2 linked regions of the Lonchura striata genome follow. The protein of the gene in region 2 purifies or fractionates together with the protein of the main gene of each other region. This does not show direct contact. Links are inferred from orthologs where the notes say so. Each region holds a gene or a part of one and is shown on either strand. Other genes may lie near its edges.

Region 1 (7,064 bases), on a different chromosome or scaffold from region 2:
CAAAAGATAAACCCCGCAAGTCCAGCATAGCAAAATGCAAAACCTGCTCAACACTTGCACCCTAATAAGGTACAACTGGGCCTTGGGCCTTTCACTCACCCCCAGGCAATGTAGGGTTCAACAATCCGCAACATGTTGATGGAGGCTTTGTTGAGTTTTACAAAGGTGCCATTAAAAATCTGACGCAGGCGAAGAAGTTGCAGAACCTTGCGAACCTTAGGGCTGACACCGTTGGTACTGGAGAAGAAAGTGAAACAGTCTGAATTATCAACATCCCAGGCAGCTAGGCATCAGGCTAAAAAACAACCCCTAAACACAACAGCACTGTTCCCATATGAAAACACATTTCATGAATTACAAAAAGCAAGCTTAGTAAATTAACTGACTATTGCTATACATTCCAGTATAAAGTTAAAACATCCATTTCCATGAAAATAACGGTAAGTATTATACTGAAACAATTGAGAACCAGCCTTGCACTGTCCTGAACATAATTCTTCCAATCACATCTATTTTTTAGTTTTCTGAACACTTTACCAGAGTACAACAAAACAAACACTTGAAGAACAGTTCAGCAGAATATTTGGGAATAGAGCATGTAGTTTTATGAAGTTAAAGGTGAGAAAGAATAATTGCCTGCATGTATTTTCAGCTTTGTCTTCTTAAAAATCAGGTATTCCTAAAGCAGGCAGCAAAATTATTTAGCCCTTCAACACCCCTCAAGAGCATGTACAGTATCTACCAACAACTTCTCAAGCCACTGGTAGAAAGCTTATCTTGTTGATATATTTAAGCCCTCAAAACAGAGAGATAACAGGAAAGCCAAAGTCAGTAATTTTGAACATAAAATTGCCTGTATCTGTACACAACCTTACCCTCTTATCCTGATCACAAATGCCAGTTTTGGCTCAGCTGGGACGTAGTAATTGCCAGCTTTCCGGGCCATCCTGGCCATACGGATCTCCTGCCTGTACATATGCCTGTACTCCTTGTGGTAAGCCTGGGCTCTTGCATAGATGAGCTTCCTTTGTGCCTTGCGGTACTGCAATAAATTGGAAATTACTTAAAGTTACAAAATGCCTTTTAACACATGAAAATCACCTTTGAGTAACATGCCATGTTCTAGAACTTCCCCCAAGTAACACAGATCAGTATCACACAGCTCAGAACAACCCTCAGTGATGCTCCAGAGAACCTGGCAGGCTATTACACAGCAACCGATGTTACTACTCCTGACTACTCATCAGCACTGTGGCGATGAAGAATAATGGGTACAAATTGAAAGACGAAAAATTTAGCTTAGACATTAAGGAAGAAATGCTGTATTAAGATGGTGAGACACTGGAATGGGTTGCCTGGGGCAGCTGTGGATGGGCCAACCCTAACCGTGTTCAAAGCCAGGTGTGACTGGATCTTTGGCACAGAGGTTGGAGCCAGGTGATCTTTAAGACCCCTTTCAACCTCTGACAGTTCTAGGATTCTCTAATCACACATCAAGCTCCCCCTTACAAAGGCTATAACCTCTTGCCCTGTACAACATTACAGACACTTTACTCTTAACTCTGCCCAAAACTTTGTTATCAGCCACTAAAAACCAATTTTAGTCTAAAACTTAAAGAAATACTGACATACTGTGAATTTCTGTACTGCATCAGAGCAGCAGCAGCTGCTACTGCAGCAGATAAGCAATTTGAGTCAAGGGATCAGAGGATATACCTTTTTTATAGCCAAGATCTTCTTCTGACGTTTGGCTTTCATGACCGCGTAGGCCTGCCGCTTCTTCAGCAGGCTCTCAGGCACAGAGGGCACCTTCTTTACTCTAAACGGAAACAGAAATAAAAGCTTTTAGCTGGTAGAAAGAAACTCAGTAGCAGTGCAAATATCAAAATCCTCAAGCATAACATGTGTGCAGGCCTTGCTACCTTGAGCCACTTCACTGCATCTTCCTCATCCTCACTGTTCCCAGGCCTGGAAGAGCATCCCGGGACAGCTCCCTGGGACTGAACTGGGTGATTTTCTGCTTCAGAACATGCACCATTCACATTTTGTACCGGACAAGAAACCCTGACAGACACAACCGTAACTACAAAGACTGTCCTCCCTTGCTAAGAAAACAAAGTTGTTTTCATGATAACTTCTCTCTGATCAATATACACTTCAACAGGTGCTTGAACAGGAAAAGCTTATTTGGAAGTACCGTGTCATTTATTAGACAGGACTCTCAGCTTGCTCAGACTATCACAGGTGGGTGATGTCGGAAGGAAACACAGCGGGTCATCCGGTCCCACCTCCCTGCTCAAGCAGGACCGTCCCAGAGCACACGGCACAGGCTGCATGGTTCTGAACACCCCTAAAGAGGGAGACTCCACAACCTCCCTGGACAACCTGTTCCAGTGCGTGGTCACCCGTACGGAAAAGAAATTCCTCCTCAACTTCAGGCAGAGCTTCCTAAACATCACTTTGTACCCCGTTCCTTCTCGTCACGGAGACTTTAAACTCTTAGACACGACAAAACTTGTCAACACAGCGTTTATAGAGCCACAGTCACCCTAACGAGCGCCTACACCAGGCCGACGGACAGTCGCTCCCAGCTCCAACCCCAACACAGCCCTGCCCGCTCGCCCAGTCGGGAGGAACTCGCCGCCCCGGCCCCACATTCCCGGCCACGGCTGCGCTCGGGGCCCGCTCTCCCTCTCCACCCCGCCGAGGGCCGGCGGCCGCAGCCGCCGCCTGCGGGAGGGCCGGGCCGGTGGTGGCTCCATCTCCGCCGCGCCGCTCCCTCCCCTCCCACCGCTCCCAGCCCCTGCGGAGGCGCGGCGGCCCCGGGGGCGGCAAGGGCAGGGCTCGGGCGGCGCGGATGGCCGCGGATGGCGGTGGATGGCAGCGGGCAGGACGGGACTCACTCCTTGTCCGCCATGGTCAGCGCCGGAAGAGAGGGGCCTGCGCCTGCGCGGCGCGCTCTTAGCTCATTGGCCCGCGCAGCCGAGGCCCTGCCCTCCGGCAGGACCCCGCGTTTGGACGTCCTCCGTTGTGCCCGACCGCCGTGCGAGTGCCGGGGTGTCCAGCGAGTGCCTGAGGTAAAAGTGTCCGGGAACTGCTTCCGCCCAGCAGGGCTGGAGACGGCTGTGTCCCGGGATCGGCTGTGTCCCGGGATCGGCTGTGTCCCAGAACCGGCTCTGTCCCGGGATCGGCTCTCTCCCGGGATCGGCTGTGTCCCGGGATCGGCTGTGTCCCAGAACCGGCTCTGTCCCGGGATCGGCTCTCTCCCGGGATCGACTGTGTCCGGGGATCGGTTCTGTCCCGGGATCGGGCTGTGTCCCGGGATCGGCTCTCTCCCGGGATCGACTGTGTCCGGGGATCGGTTCTGTCCCGGGATTGGCTGTGTCCCGGGATCGGTTGTGTCCGGGGATCGGTTGTGTCCGGTAATCGGGCTGTGTGCCGGGATCGACTGTGTCCGGTGATCGGGCTGTGAGCCGGGATCGGGCTGTGTCCCGGGCTCGGCTGTGTCCCCAGCACGGGCTGTGTCCCGAGATCGGTCTGTGTCCCGGGCTCGGTCTGTGTCCCGGGCACGGTCTGTGTCCCGGGCTCGGCTGTGTCCCGGGCTCGGCTGTGTCCCGGGCACGGTCTGTGTCCCGGGCTCGGCTGTGTCCCCAGCACGGGCTGTGTCCCGGGCTCGGCTGTGTCCCGGGCTCGGCTGTGTCCCGGGCACGGTCTGTGTCCCGGGCTCGGCTGTGTCCCGGGCTCGGCTGTGTCCCCGGCACGGGCTGTGTCCCCGGCACGGGCTGTGTCCCCAGCACGGGCTGTGTCCCCAGCACGGGCTGTATCGCGGGCCGGGCGGGAACCGCTCCGCCACCAGACCCGCCTTCCCTGCAGGAGGCTGAGCAGGAGCCCCGGGTGGGTGCTGCCAGCCGTCTTGTCTGAGGCAGGATTTCCCGTTTCAGCCTTAAACCCCGTCCTTCGCGCCCGCGGGACGCCACCTCCCGCCCGCGCTCAGCACCGCGGCGGGAATGGAGGCTGGATGGGAATGCTGCCCTGCCCGCAGGATGGTTCACCGGCACGCACGGGCAAATGGCAACCACGGGATCCGTTTCTGCCGGGATGGGTTTTCATCAGGCTGGACATCTTTTCGGTTCGCCATACAGAATCAGTAACTGCAGTGTAGAGAAGGGAGGGTGGCTCAGGAAGCAGCGCTGCCCAGCACAGCAGCTTGGAAGGCTGCTTAAGGCTGTGGCTCCTAAGTCTCATCCTGTGCGCGCCTACCTGTGCGCCGAAAATCACCCTGAGAGGTGATTTTCACACGGGGAGAAGAGAAATTAGTGGAACTCTTAGCAGCAAAGCACTATCCGGTATAAAAAACCGTGTAGACAGCAGGGCGGGGCATAAGGAATGCCGAGCTCTGCATTTACTGACCTTATTTGTTGCCAATTAACAGCACGCAGAGGTGTCGCACAGCACTAACGCCTGAGAACGTTATTGAGAGTGCTTTGTATCAATGTTCATTTTTTTACTATAATGTTATTTTGTGCTAATACAGACATTTGTATCACTTGATCTTATTAGCAATATTATAGGGGGGGGGGGGGGGGATTAAAATCAGCACGCAAAACCACCCGCAAATATCTACTGAAGAAAGAAGTCTGCACTTTCTTCTGAAACTTTTGAACTTGAATTTCTGCTCAATCCGAGAGGCAGCGTTCACAAAGTTCCAACTTTTCTGACAACTGGCAGCTACACAGGGAAGACAGCGCAGCGTCGTGCACTTAAGGCACAGGGATGCAGGCGAGCAGAGGCAGTGGGATGAGTCCTGCACACCCAAGGGCACGCTCTCGTCCTCATCCTCTGGAACTGGCAAATGGAGGAGCGGGATGCTCCGGCGCCGGGTGGCCGCAGGGAGCCCAGATACAGGGAGCGGCCGCTGTTATCGCACAGAAGAAAATACTTTCCGTGTGCTGGCACCTGTGAGCTCCTATTTCAGTCCGTGGCGGGTGAGATATCAGTGACCTCTGTACTTGGCTGACAGACCAAGAAGTCATGGGCGTTTCCCTCAGCGGTTTCTCACAGCTCAGCAGAGAATCCCCAGGCACGCGGGCATCGTGCATCCTGCGGTAGCCCAGTGGTTCCTGTGGGCTCCCAGCTTCCCTGCGTCTCTAGCCCCGAGCACGAACCTCCAGCGCCCGTCCGCGTCCCTCCAACCCGCGCCGCGGCATCGCGCCCGAGATGGCGCTCCGGCGGGGCGCGGCGCACCCCGGGACTTGTAGTCCTGGGGCGGGCTGGAGCCGCCGGGAGCCGCCGGGACGCCCGCCCCCAGCAGCGCAAAGCACCGGCTGTCCCGTCCCCGTTCCCGTCGGGGACCTCCCCCGGCGGCGGGGCGGAGCGGGACAGGGGCGGGGGGTCCCGGGAATGCGGGGCGGGATGGGCCGGCCCGGGGGAGGGGCTCGGCCTCCCGGTCCGCCCTATATAGAGGGGCCGAGCGAGCAAGATGTTCACTGCCAGTAGCGGGGCCGCGGGCGGGACGGGGCAGGGCGGGCAGGCGGTGGGCAGGCAGGCGGTGGGCAGGCAGGCAGCGCCGTGTCCGGGCTCCGTCCTCGGCGTGTGTGACTGAGGCGGGCGCGGGCTGCGAGCGGCGCGGGGGGGGGCAGCTCGGCGGCGGGACCCCCGTGAGCGGAGCCTCCCGCGGTGCCCGCGGCGGGCGGTCCGGGCAGCGGCGGCTCCAGCTCCGGGAGCCGGGCGGCCAGGAGGCTCCGTGCCGCCGGCCCCGCGGTCCGGCAGCATGAACATCCTACTGGAGTTCTTCGTGGTGACTTTCCGAGTGCTGTGGGCGTTCGTGCTGGCCGCGGCCAAGTGGCTGGTGCGGCCCAAAGAGAAAAGTGTGGCGGGGCAGGTGTGCCTGATCACCGGGGCGGGCAGCGGCCTGGGCCGCCTCTTCGCCCTGGAGTTCGCCCGGCGCCGGGCGCTTTTGGTGCTGTGGGACATCAACACGCAGAGCAACGAGGAGACGGCGGGCATGGTGCGGCACATCTACCGGGAGATGGCCGAGGAGGCGGCGGCCGCCGCCCCCGGAGGTAAGCGGCGGGGCTCCCCGCGCTGTCCCCGCCGCTCACCTGCCCGGCCCGGGGCAGGGGGAGCCGGGGCTGCGCCCGGCGGGTCCAGCCCGGAGCAGCGCTCACCTGCGGCGGGCCCTGAGAGCAGCTCCGGGCTGGAGACCGCCGGGCGCAGAGTGTCAGACGCCCCGACGGTGCTCCTGCGAGCCAGAGCCGGCCCTGTGCCGGCAGCGATGAGCGCAGACCTGCTTCGCGGAGCCTCGGACCCCAGCAGCGGCTTTAAAACCTGCAGCTCTTCCTAAAACACGTAGCGGCGTTAGTAAATAGCTGACTCCTGGTGTACTGCAATGACACCAAAGTAAATAAAAGTTTTGGCGGTTTGAAATTGTATTTGCTATTTCTGCTTGAACTACTTGTTTGAATGTCAATATATGAGCAAGAACCTTATTGCCCCCCACCCCTTCTGTTCTTTTATCTGTATTCTTTAGTGGCTGGAGATGGAGAGAAAGATGTGCTGCCCCATTGCAACTTGCAGGTTTACACGTACACCTGTGATGTGGGCAAAAGAGAGAATGTCTACTTGACAGCTGAGAGGGTCCGTAAGGAGGTTGGCGAGGTGTCTGTCCTGGTTAACAATGCTGGTGTGGTCTCCGGGCACCATCTTCTGGAGTGTCCTGATGAGCTTATTGAGAGGACCATGATGGTTAACTGTCACGCACACTTCTGGGTAACTATAAACTCCTTTCTGCTGCCCTTGTTGGTAATTAATTTTGGGAAATGAACTGCTGTTGCAGAACTCCTGTCTCCTTGAGGTTTGTACTTGTTCTTTTTTACTTGTAGGATTACTGCTTTGGGTGTTTCTTGTTTTGAATTCACTGTTCTGTTTAACAGGAATGCTGGTATTAAGATTGTTAACAAATAGTTTTTAATCAGCTGTATCCTCCTAGAATCCAGAGTTCTAAGTCTTCTGGCCATTTCTGTAGCTTTGGGTATTAAATCCTTTACAAGCAATAATCTCTGAAT
Region 2 (7,537 bases):
AGCAGTGAGTTCCAATGGAGGAAGACTTATTAATTCAACCATTACAAAAAACCTAAACAAGACTGAATGTAACATTTCCTAATAACTAAAATTTTTAAGTCAAACTTTTACAGTCTATCCATGCTTTATCCAAAGCAAAGCTTCAGCAAAAGGTTGAACCAGTCAATCAGAAATGACCCACAAACCCATTCACAGAAGTCACCACTCATAAATATACAGAAAGTCCTTGCCAGTACTAAATATATGCCCAACATGGAACAGAAAAGGCAGGTCTAAAAACCTGGTTAAAGTAAAATTGGCTTTTAAAAATATATTTACCAATTAACTGGTTTTATAGACAGACCAGAACAACATTGGCATCTATAATGAGATGCATGTATCAATCCCTGTCACACCTCTCTACAAGGTATTGCACCATAAGAGGACCCACTTACACACTGTTACACTTCTGCTTCACTCCCTCACACTTCATGTGTGCAAGCACATGAAGTTCCATGTGTTCAAATGGAAACCTTCAAGCACACATGAAGTTCCATGTGTTCAAGTGGAAACAAATCAGTTTTCACTTATATGCAGACAAAAGAAGCAAGTAGTAAATCAAGTGGAATTATAATATTTTAACTCCTGAGAATCACAGAATTATAGAAAATAGAAATCTTTTCTTTAAGCAGAATGTTTATGTGGCACAACTAAACAAAAAGGAAAAATGAAAATAGTCCACAATGAAGCAAATGATTCTCTCTTGCTTTAGCTGGATTCCAAGTTTATGTTTTAGGAACCACTGAGTGGTACTAGGAACAGAGATCGAACTAAGTATGATTTACAGGCAAAGATTAACATACACAAGGAATGTAAGGCTAAGCCTAAAAGTACAACCGAAAGTTGTATGACTATCACACACTTTTAGAGCATTTCAAACATGTTAGCTATTTAACTGCAGTTAATGTATTTAACAAGACACAGCACCAAGTGTTAGACAAATGCCTACCCATTCAGATTTGTACACAATGGAACCGCAATGAGATTTGCACAAGTTGGGAGAACACTATACATAAACCCTTATTCCTTGCTGGATTTCAGTACATTATTAAAGGTCTGCAACTCAAAAGCTAGCAAAACTAAAGAGGCAGATCAGCTCCACCCCTTCCAATTTCTTTTCAGTCTTCCTATATGAAGGCCAGACTGCTTTTTTTGAGTATTTGGAAAATGAATTAACTCCTAGGCTGTGAGAGTACGTGCCAAGGTTCAGCCTGGAATGAACTTCTGAAGTCAAGCTATAAATCGTTCAAAACAGAAGTTTAATAATGGAAATGTTGACAGACCCTTAACAACACGGGTACCAGGCACCAGTACACAGCGAGTTTCACCCTTACTGGCTACATAGATAAAGTGACAACAGCCAGTAATACAACCTATTTTATAGCTTAGTAACTAAGTTCATTACTTAATAACACTTGACTAGGTAGGCACAGTCTCCATCCAAAACGCTGGTTAACATCATTAGCTTTCGCTCGTATTCACACCAGCACTTAGGTCTTGGTACAAAAATCCCTCTGCTTAAACACCAAACGCTGCCGGAGGCCAGACAGACCCTGCCCCGCAGACCCCACCCCGCTCCTCCCCGGCCCTGCCCCCGCATCGCCCCTTCCCCCCGGCCCTGGCCCGCCCCCTTCCCGGCCCTGCCCCGCATCCCTCCCCCGCTCGCTGCGGCCCTGCCCCGCATCGCTCCCTCCCCGGGCCGGCGCGGCCGAGGCCCCAGGGCTGCGAGCCCCGGCCGCAGCCTGCAGTCGCCGCTGCCCGGGGCGCGGGCGCTGCGCCCGGCGGACCCCGAACGCCGGCAGACCCGGCGTCTGCTTCGGCAATTAACTTCGGATGTGCGTGCGTGTGTACGTGGGGGGTTAATCCCACTCAAAACAGCGCCGTCCTGAAATGGTGGAAAATCACATCCATATTTACTGTCTGACGGGGCGAGGGGGTGTAGGTTTGGCACCACTTCATCGACCCCTTCTATAGAGGGCAGGGAATTGTACCGCAAAGCGACATTCCAAGCGAAGCGTTTTCACCCAAGTTTTAGGGGCTCACCCCCACGGTCGAGGCCGAGATGGCCAAGGAGCGGATGTGGAGATCGGGGCCCCGCCGGAGACAGGGACGGGGCCGGCGCTCGCCCGCCCTCCCGCCGCGGGTCCCGGCCCCGTCGGCGTCTCGGGGCGCGGGAGGCGGCCCTGCCCCAGGGGGAGAACAAATAAAGGGGTGTGGGGGCGGCGGAGAGCCCCGGCCGGGCGCCCCCCGCCCCGCTGGCGGATTCCCGCCCCGGCCCCCTCCCCCACACGCCTCCCCCGGGAGGAGCTCGGCGGGGAGGGGGAGCTCGGCCCGGCCGGGCTGCCCCCGCCCGCCCGCGGCGCGGGCCCCTGCCCTCCCTCCCCCTCACCTGGCGGGAGTGGGCCTTGGGCTCGGGCGGCTTGAAGAAGGAGTCGGGCAGTTTCCGCAGTCGCATGGGCAGCGTGTGTGGCACGTTGGCGCCCTTGGGGTTCATCACGGCGTTGAACAGCGCCTCCAAGTCGGTCTCCGAGTCGCCCCGCACATGGACGATCTGGTGCCCCGCCGGAGGGGGCCCAGCCCCCGGGGGCTGCGCCGCGCCGGCCGGGGCCCCCGACACCGGGCCAGGGGGCTGCGGCGGCGGCTGCTGCTGCTGCGGGGCCGGGGGCTGCGCCGCCTGCGGCGGCTGCTGCGTTTGAGGCTGCCCAGGATCCATGGCTCCGTCGGGACCCCCCGGCGCTTCCCTGGCGGGGCTCGGCGGCTCAGAGCCCGGATTCCCAGTCCCGCATGCCCCGCTCCCCGGGCCGCGGGTTCGTCCTGCTGTCGCCGGTGCTTCTCACCCCTCGGTCGGGAAGCCGACCCGCCCGCGGCAACTGGCAAAACAACTCCGGCCGTGCGGCGCTTCCCCGAGCCCGGCCCAGCCCGGCCGGCGCCTCTGTCCCGGCGGCGGAAACTAACTCACACAACACACCAAACAAAAGTTCGCAGTTACGCCCGCCCGAATCACTCTCCGCCGCCGGCTCCGCCCCTCCTGAGCCCGCCCGCACCGTATCCGAGCGAGGGAGCCCGTGCTCGCAGCGCTGCTGCGCGCGCCCGCCCGCACCGCCTCCCGCCCGGGGCGCTGGGGGCGCTGCGCGGCCCCGCGGACCCCGCTCCGCCCGCGGCCCGGCCCGGCTCCGCACCGCCCCGCACCGCCCGCTGCCGCCAACCAGAACTTTTATTTCTCCCGAACTTCTATCCCAACTTCCAGGAGGCCGCTTCGCCAGGGGGTTGGGAGGGGCGGCCGCGCTTCCCTGCCACCGGCCCGGAGGGGCCATCGGGCCGGGACCCCTCCCGCCGGTCCCCTCCGTGCTATCTCCCGATTCCGCTGAGCTTTCACCGACTGCAGAGTCTCCCCTGCAGATACGCGTCGCGGGTCTGTAAAGCAGGCTCATAAAAATGACGAGACCTCTAGAGAAATACTTTTTATTAAATAACACGGGTGAGGGAAGGGGGGAAACGGCCAAGAAAACAGCTTCCAGAACTACACATACCGGAAAACTACTGTCATTAACCACACATTAACATCTGAGTGAATGACAATTACTTCTGAGCACATCATCAAGGAGTAGAGCTTTCCTCGTCAGAAAACTATGCAATGTCTACCTGAGCCCAACAGAAAGAAGGCAATCTCCATTATAAAACTGGGCACCAGCCAGGTTTATAACTAGTTTGCAAATAGGCTTTCACCGAAACAGTGATACAGAATATTCACGTGTCGCTTGCAGGGATCCACAATCAAGTAGGCAAAAGTCTGTTGGTGGCTTTTGTTTGAAGGGTAACACAGGCCATTAACATCCTGAAAGGAAGAAAAAAACCAAAACCAAAACAGTATTAGGGACAACAGAGATATCTGTAAGAGAATAAAATCTGAAGTTAATAATTTTGTTCCAGTTGTAACTGTTCATTGCACAGCAAAATAAAACAAATACACTGCAGTTTATTTAAATGGTGTATTTCCCCATGAGGATCCCAACACTACAAAATGCACAGTAATTCTGACTGGATGTATCAAATAACCTTGAGGTAAATGTAATATTTATATAAAATGTAAAACATACAAGCATGTGTTTACACAATTAGAGCCTAAAATACAAATGATTACAGCTAATCACGTTGCCTTTGAAAGAGAAAAATAATCACTATATTAATACATAAAGCTGTTCCATCTGCTGTTATGTTTTTCACTTAACATTTGCTGATGCATCTGTTCAGGTTCCAATATTTGCATTTAAGCAAAACGCTTATTACAGATCACATTAACAACTTTGGACTATTATTGGAAACATTCTGTGTGCCAGTCCTCAGAAAAGGTTTGAAGGGATTCTAGACACCTAGCTGCAAAATCCTCGTTCTGAAAAAAATACATTCAGCTGACAATTAGCAGGGGAATTGGGTTCTTCACATTAACATCCTACGTCTGCACATGTCAATAAAAGCTTCAGTGTTGACAGACCAGCACAGCTGGACACACTTCAAATCCAGTAGGGATCCAAAAACTAGATGGAGGGATTTTTAAAGCATTCGGGTTTTTTATTTAGTTAGTGTGGTAATTGAACATGTGAAAGATCAATAAATATGTAGCTGACACTTCCTTTCTTTTAAAACATATAACAGTTTCCTCCTGCTCCCCAACACCTTTGTACAATAGTTGAAGAGATGTGGGTTCTGTTACACTTTTCCTGCTTGAGGGAAATTGCTACATTGCATATATTGTTCATTTTCTCCAGGAAAATTTTAAACTCACAGACTACAGACTATTCCAGATTTCACATCTTTTCATTTTTCTGTTGAAGCTGTCTTTCTTTGCATAAAAGGAAGACAGCTTTTTTTGGACCAAAGAAACATGAAAAGTGTAACCTCTTTCAGTGGTTAAGTCAGTCAGATGAGAAGGAAAAGAGCTGGGTCACCATTTCTGCACCAAGGACCAATTATGAATTTTATTCTTTAGCTGTTACTGGCACCCCGCTTTCTCCTGCTGTTTTGAAGACAATTAATCCATTATTAGATGGTCTGAGGGGATGTTTTGTTATTAGATGTTTTGGGGGATTATTCAAACCCTAAATCTTAAGATAAGCACCTCATAAAAGCACTTTTTAGACAGGTAGAGATTTGATATTTATTCCCAGAATTTTCCAATGGTAGTCAAATACCACAAGCTAGAAATAGCATTCTAATTTTAAGTGGCACAGCATATAAGCTCTGTAGCTCCAATTGCAGGATACCTAGCTTTCTTCAGGTGTTTTCTAAGGATACATGTATAACAAACACTGGATTCTCAACTGCAGTAAGGAGAGCAAATTTTTAAGATTTTATAGTGCTCAGCATCAAGAGGCCTTTGGAATTTGATCCAAAAATAACCTAAAATCATGCATGTAACTGAAGGAAAAAAAGTAACACAAGATCAGCATCAAGACATGATTGTCAGTTAAACTCTTTTCCCATTGGTACTGAGGATCCCACTCCTGCAGTCTGTGTGGAATTGATTGAGGTTTTGAGGTTGTGGCAGTTGAGATTTTGAACGAGCCCACTAAAAATTTGTTCAACAACTCAGGAACAAAAACAATTTAAGTTCTGGTGATGAGGCATTTCAAGCAATCACCAAACCTAGTATCAGGAAAATAGTTAATATAATATAATTAAATGAAAAGGTTCTTAATTTTAATGAGCAAAAGAGGTCATAAAAACCCCTAAAATGCTTGAGCATAAAGGCTCTGATATTTACATTCATGCATATACACAATTAAGAATCATACCAATTCCATCTGCAGTGTGGACTTTGGTTCATACATGCAGGGGGTGTAATGATTGATTTACTTATGTTAAAGTAGGATAATTTTATTTTTTATTTGTAGCAACACAGCTGATGATTTAAGAATACATATGCATAGCATAAAACAGAAATAAAAATACTGCTGAAGAGTCTCAAAACTGCATAATGTAATTAACAATTTTCAAAAATACTTCTTGAAAATACTTAAGCTGTAAAAGTGTTTCATTATATGCAAAGCTCCAAAGTTCTCAAGGGTATTTGGAGTTCAACAGAGTACTTTGTCACAAGATCTAAAATTATTTCTCTTGTGATGCCCAGGTCTATGAGGTTTTGATGCGGAAGAGCTCTACAGACATTTGTAAGAGAGACCTCAACAAATTGGAGGGCTGGACAATGACCAACCATATGGAGTTCAACAAGAGAAAGTGCTGGATTCTGCACCTGGGATGGGGCAGCCCTGGATGTATGGGCAGACTGGGCAATGAGATGCTGCAGAGCAGTCCTGCACAAAGGGACCTGGGAGTCCTGGTCTGTGGCAAGCTGAACATGACCAGCAGTGCCCTGGCAGCCAGGAGGGCCAACCCTGTCCTGGGGGGCATCAGGCACAACATGGCCAGCTGGGCAAGGGAGGGGATTGTCCTGCTCTGCACTGGGGCAGCCTCACCTCCAGTGCTGGGGGCAGTTCTGGATGCCACCATATAAAAAAAGACATTAAAGTATTAGAGAGTGTCCAAAGGAGGCCAATGAAGATGGTGAAGGGACTTGAGGGGAAATTGTATGAGGAGTTGCTGAGGTCACTTGCTCTGTTCAGCCTGGAGGAGACTGAGGGGAGACCTCACTACAGTCTGCAGCTTCCTTGTGAGGGGAAGAGGAGTGGCAGACACTGATCTCTGCTCTATGGTGACCAGTGACAGCACCTGAGGCAAAAGCACAAAGCTGACTCAGAGCAGGTTTAGGCTGGATCTCAGGAAAAGGTTCTTCACACAGAGGGTGGTTGGGCACTGGAACAGGCTCCTCAGGGAAGTGGTCACAGCACTAGCCTGACAGAGGTCATGAAGTGTTTGAGCAACACTCTCTGGCACACAGTGTGACCCCTGGGGATGGTGCTGTGCAGGACCAGGATTTGAACTTGAGCATCCTTGTGGGTCCCTTCTAACTCAGCATATTCTGTGATTCTGTGAATTTATTTAGAACTTTGAGATATTTACATCTCTAACAGTGTGCTTTTTTAGATACAGTTTTAAAATTGTGCTCAGCTGCACAAGTCACTTTTATGAGATCAGCTTTTTAAAATTTATTTATTTTAAAAATTATTTATCTACTTACATCAGGCTAGGAGGGTATGTCCTTTTCTTCCAGATACAAATCAAGAAAACTTGGCTTAAAAACTGTCAGAATTATAGTAACATTCTACTGTTATTTATCAAATGAACTCAGAAACTAAATCTACTGCAGTAATGTAGTTATGTCCTTGAGAGAAACTTTTCACCACAAACACAAGACATTTGTGCTCCAGTAAGTGTCCTTCTTGTAAGTGCCATGTGGACTGGAGTAGTTTTGATCCACATAACTATCAAACAGTCTAGACACATTGTTTAAACCTTTCTGTTTTCTGAGAGAAAATTCTTCAGGATGTTCTTTAATAGAAATCGTAATTTCAGAATAATTCTTCAGAATGTGTAGTAATGC

The links. Proteins that work in one complex are often made in the same cells at the same time.
Region 1: the proteins of YAP1 (region 2) and RPL7 purify together in Homo sapiens (affinity purification with mass spectrometry, with the first as the bait; 3 studies listed by BioGRID). This does not show direct contact. The link is inferred for Lonchura striata from reciprocal best matches to the Homo sapiens genes YAP1 and RPL7.

The regions. Positions count from the first base shown.
Region 1 is NC_134603.1:32,484,230-32,491,293, reverse strand, and holds the start of RPL7 (large ribosomal subunit protein uL30), read right to left. Parts: upstream 3,012-7,064; 5' UTR 2,918-3,011; coding exon 2,904-2,917; intron 1,820-2,903; coding exon 1,717-1,819; intron 1,043-1,716; coding exon 876-1,042; intron 238-875; coding exon 100-237; intron 1-99. Other genes in the region: RDH10 (retinol dehydrogenase 10), read left to right, coding at 5,771-6,062, 6,530-6,768.
Region 2 is NC_134604.1:42,218,604-42,226,140, reverse strand, and holds the start of YAP1 (transcriptional coactivator YAP1), read right to left. Parts: upstream 3,011-7,537; 5' UTR 2,753-3,010; coding exon 2,429-2,752; intron 1-2,428. Other genes in the region: CFAP300 (cilia- and flagella-associated protein 300), read right to left, coding at 3,743-3,874. UniProt on the Homo sapiens protein: Transcriptional regulator with dual roles as a coactivator and corepressor. Critical downstream regulatory target in the Hippo signaling pathway, crucial for organ size control and tumor suppression by restricting proliferation and promoting apoptosis.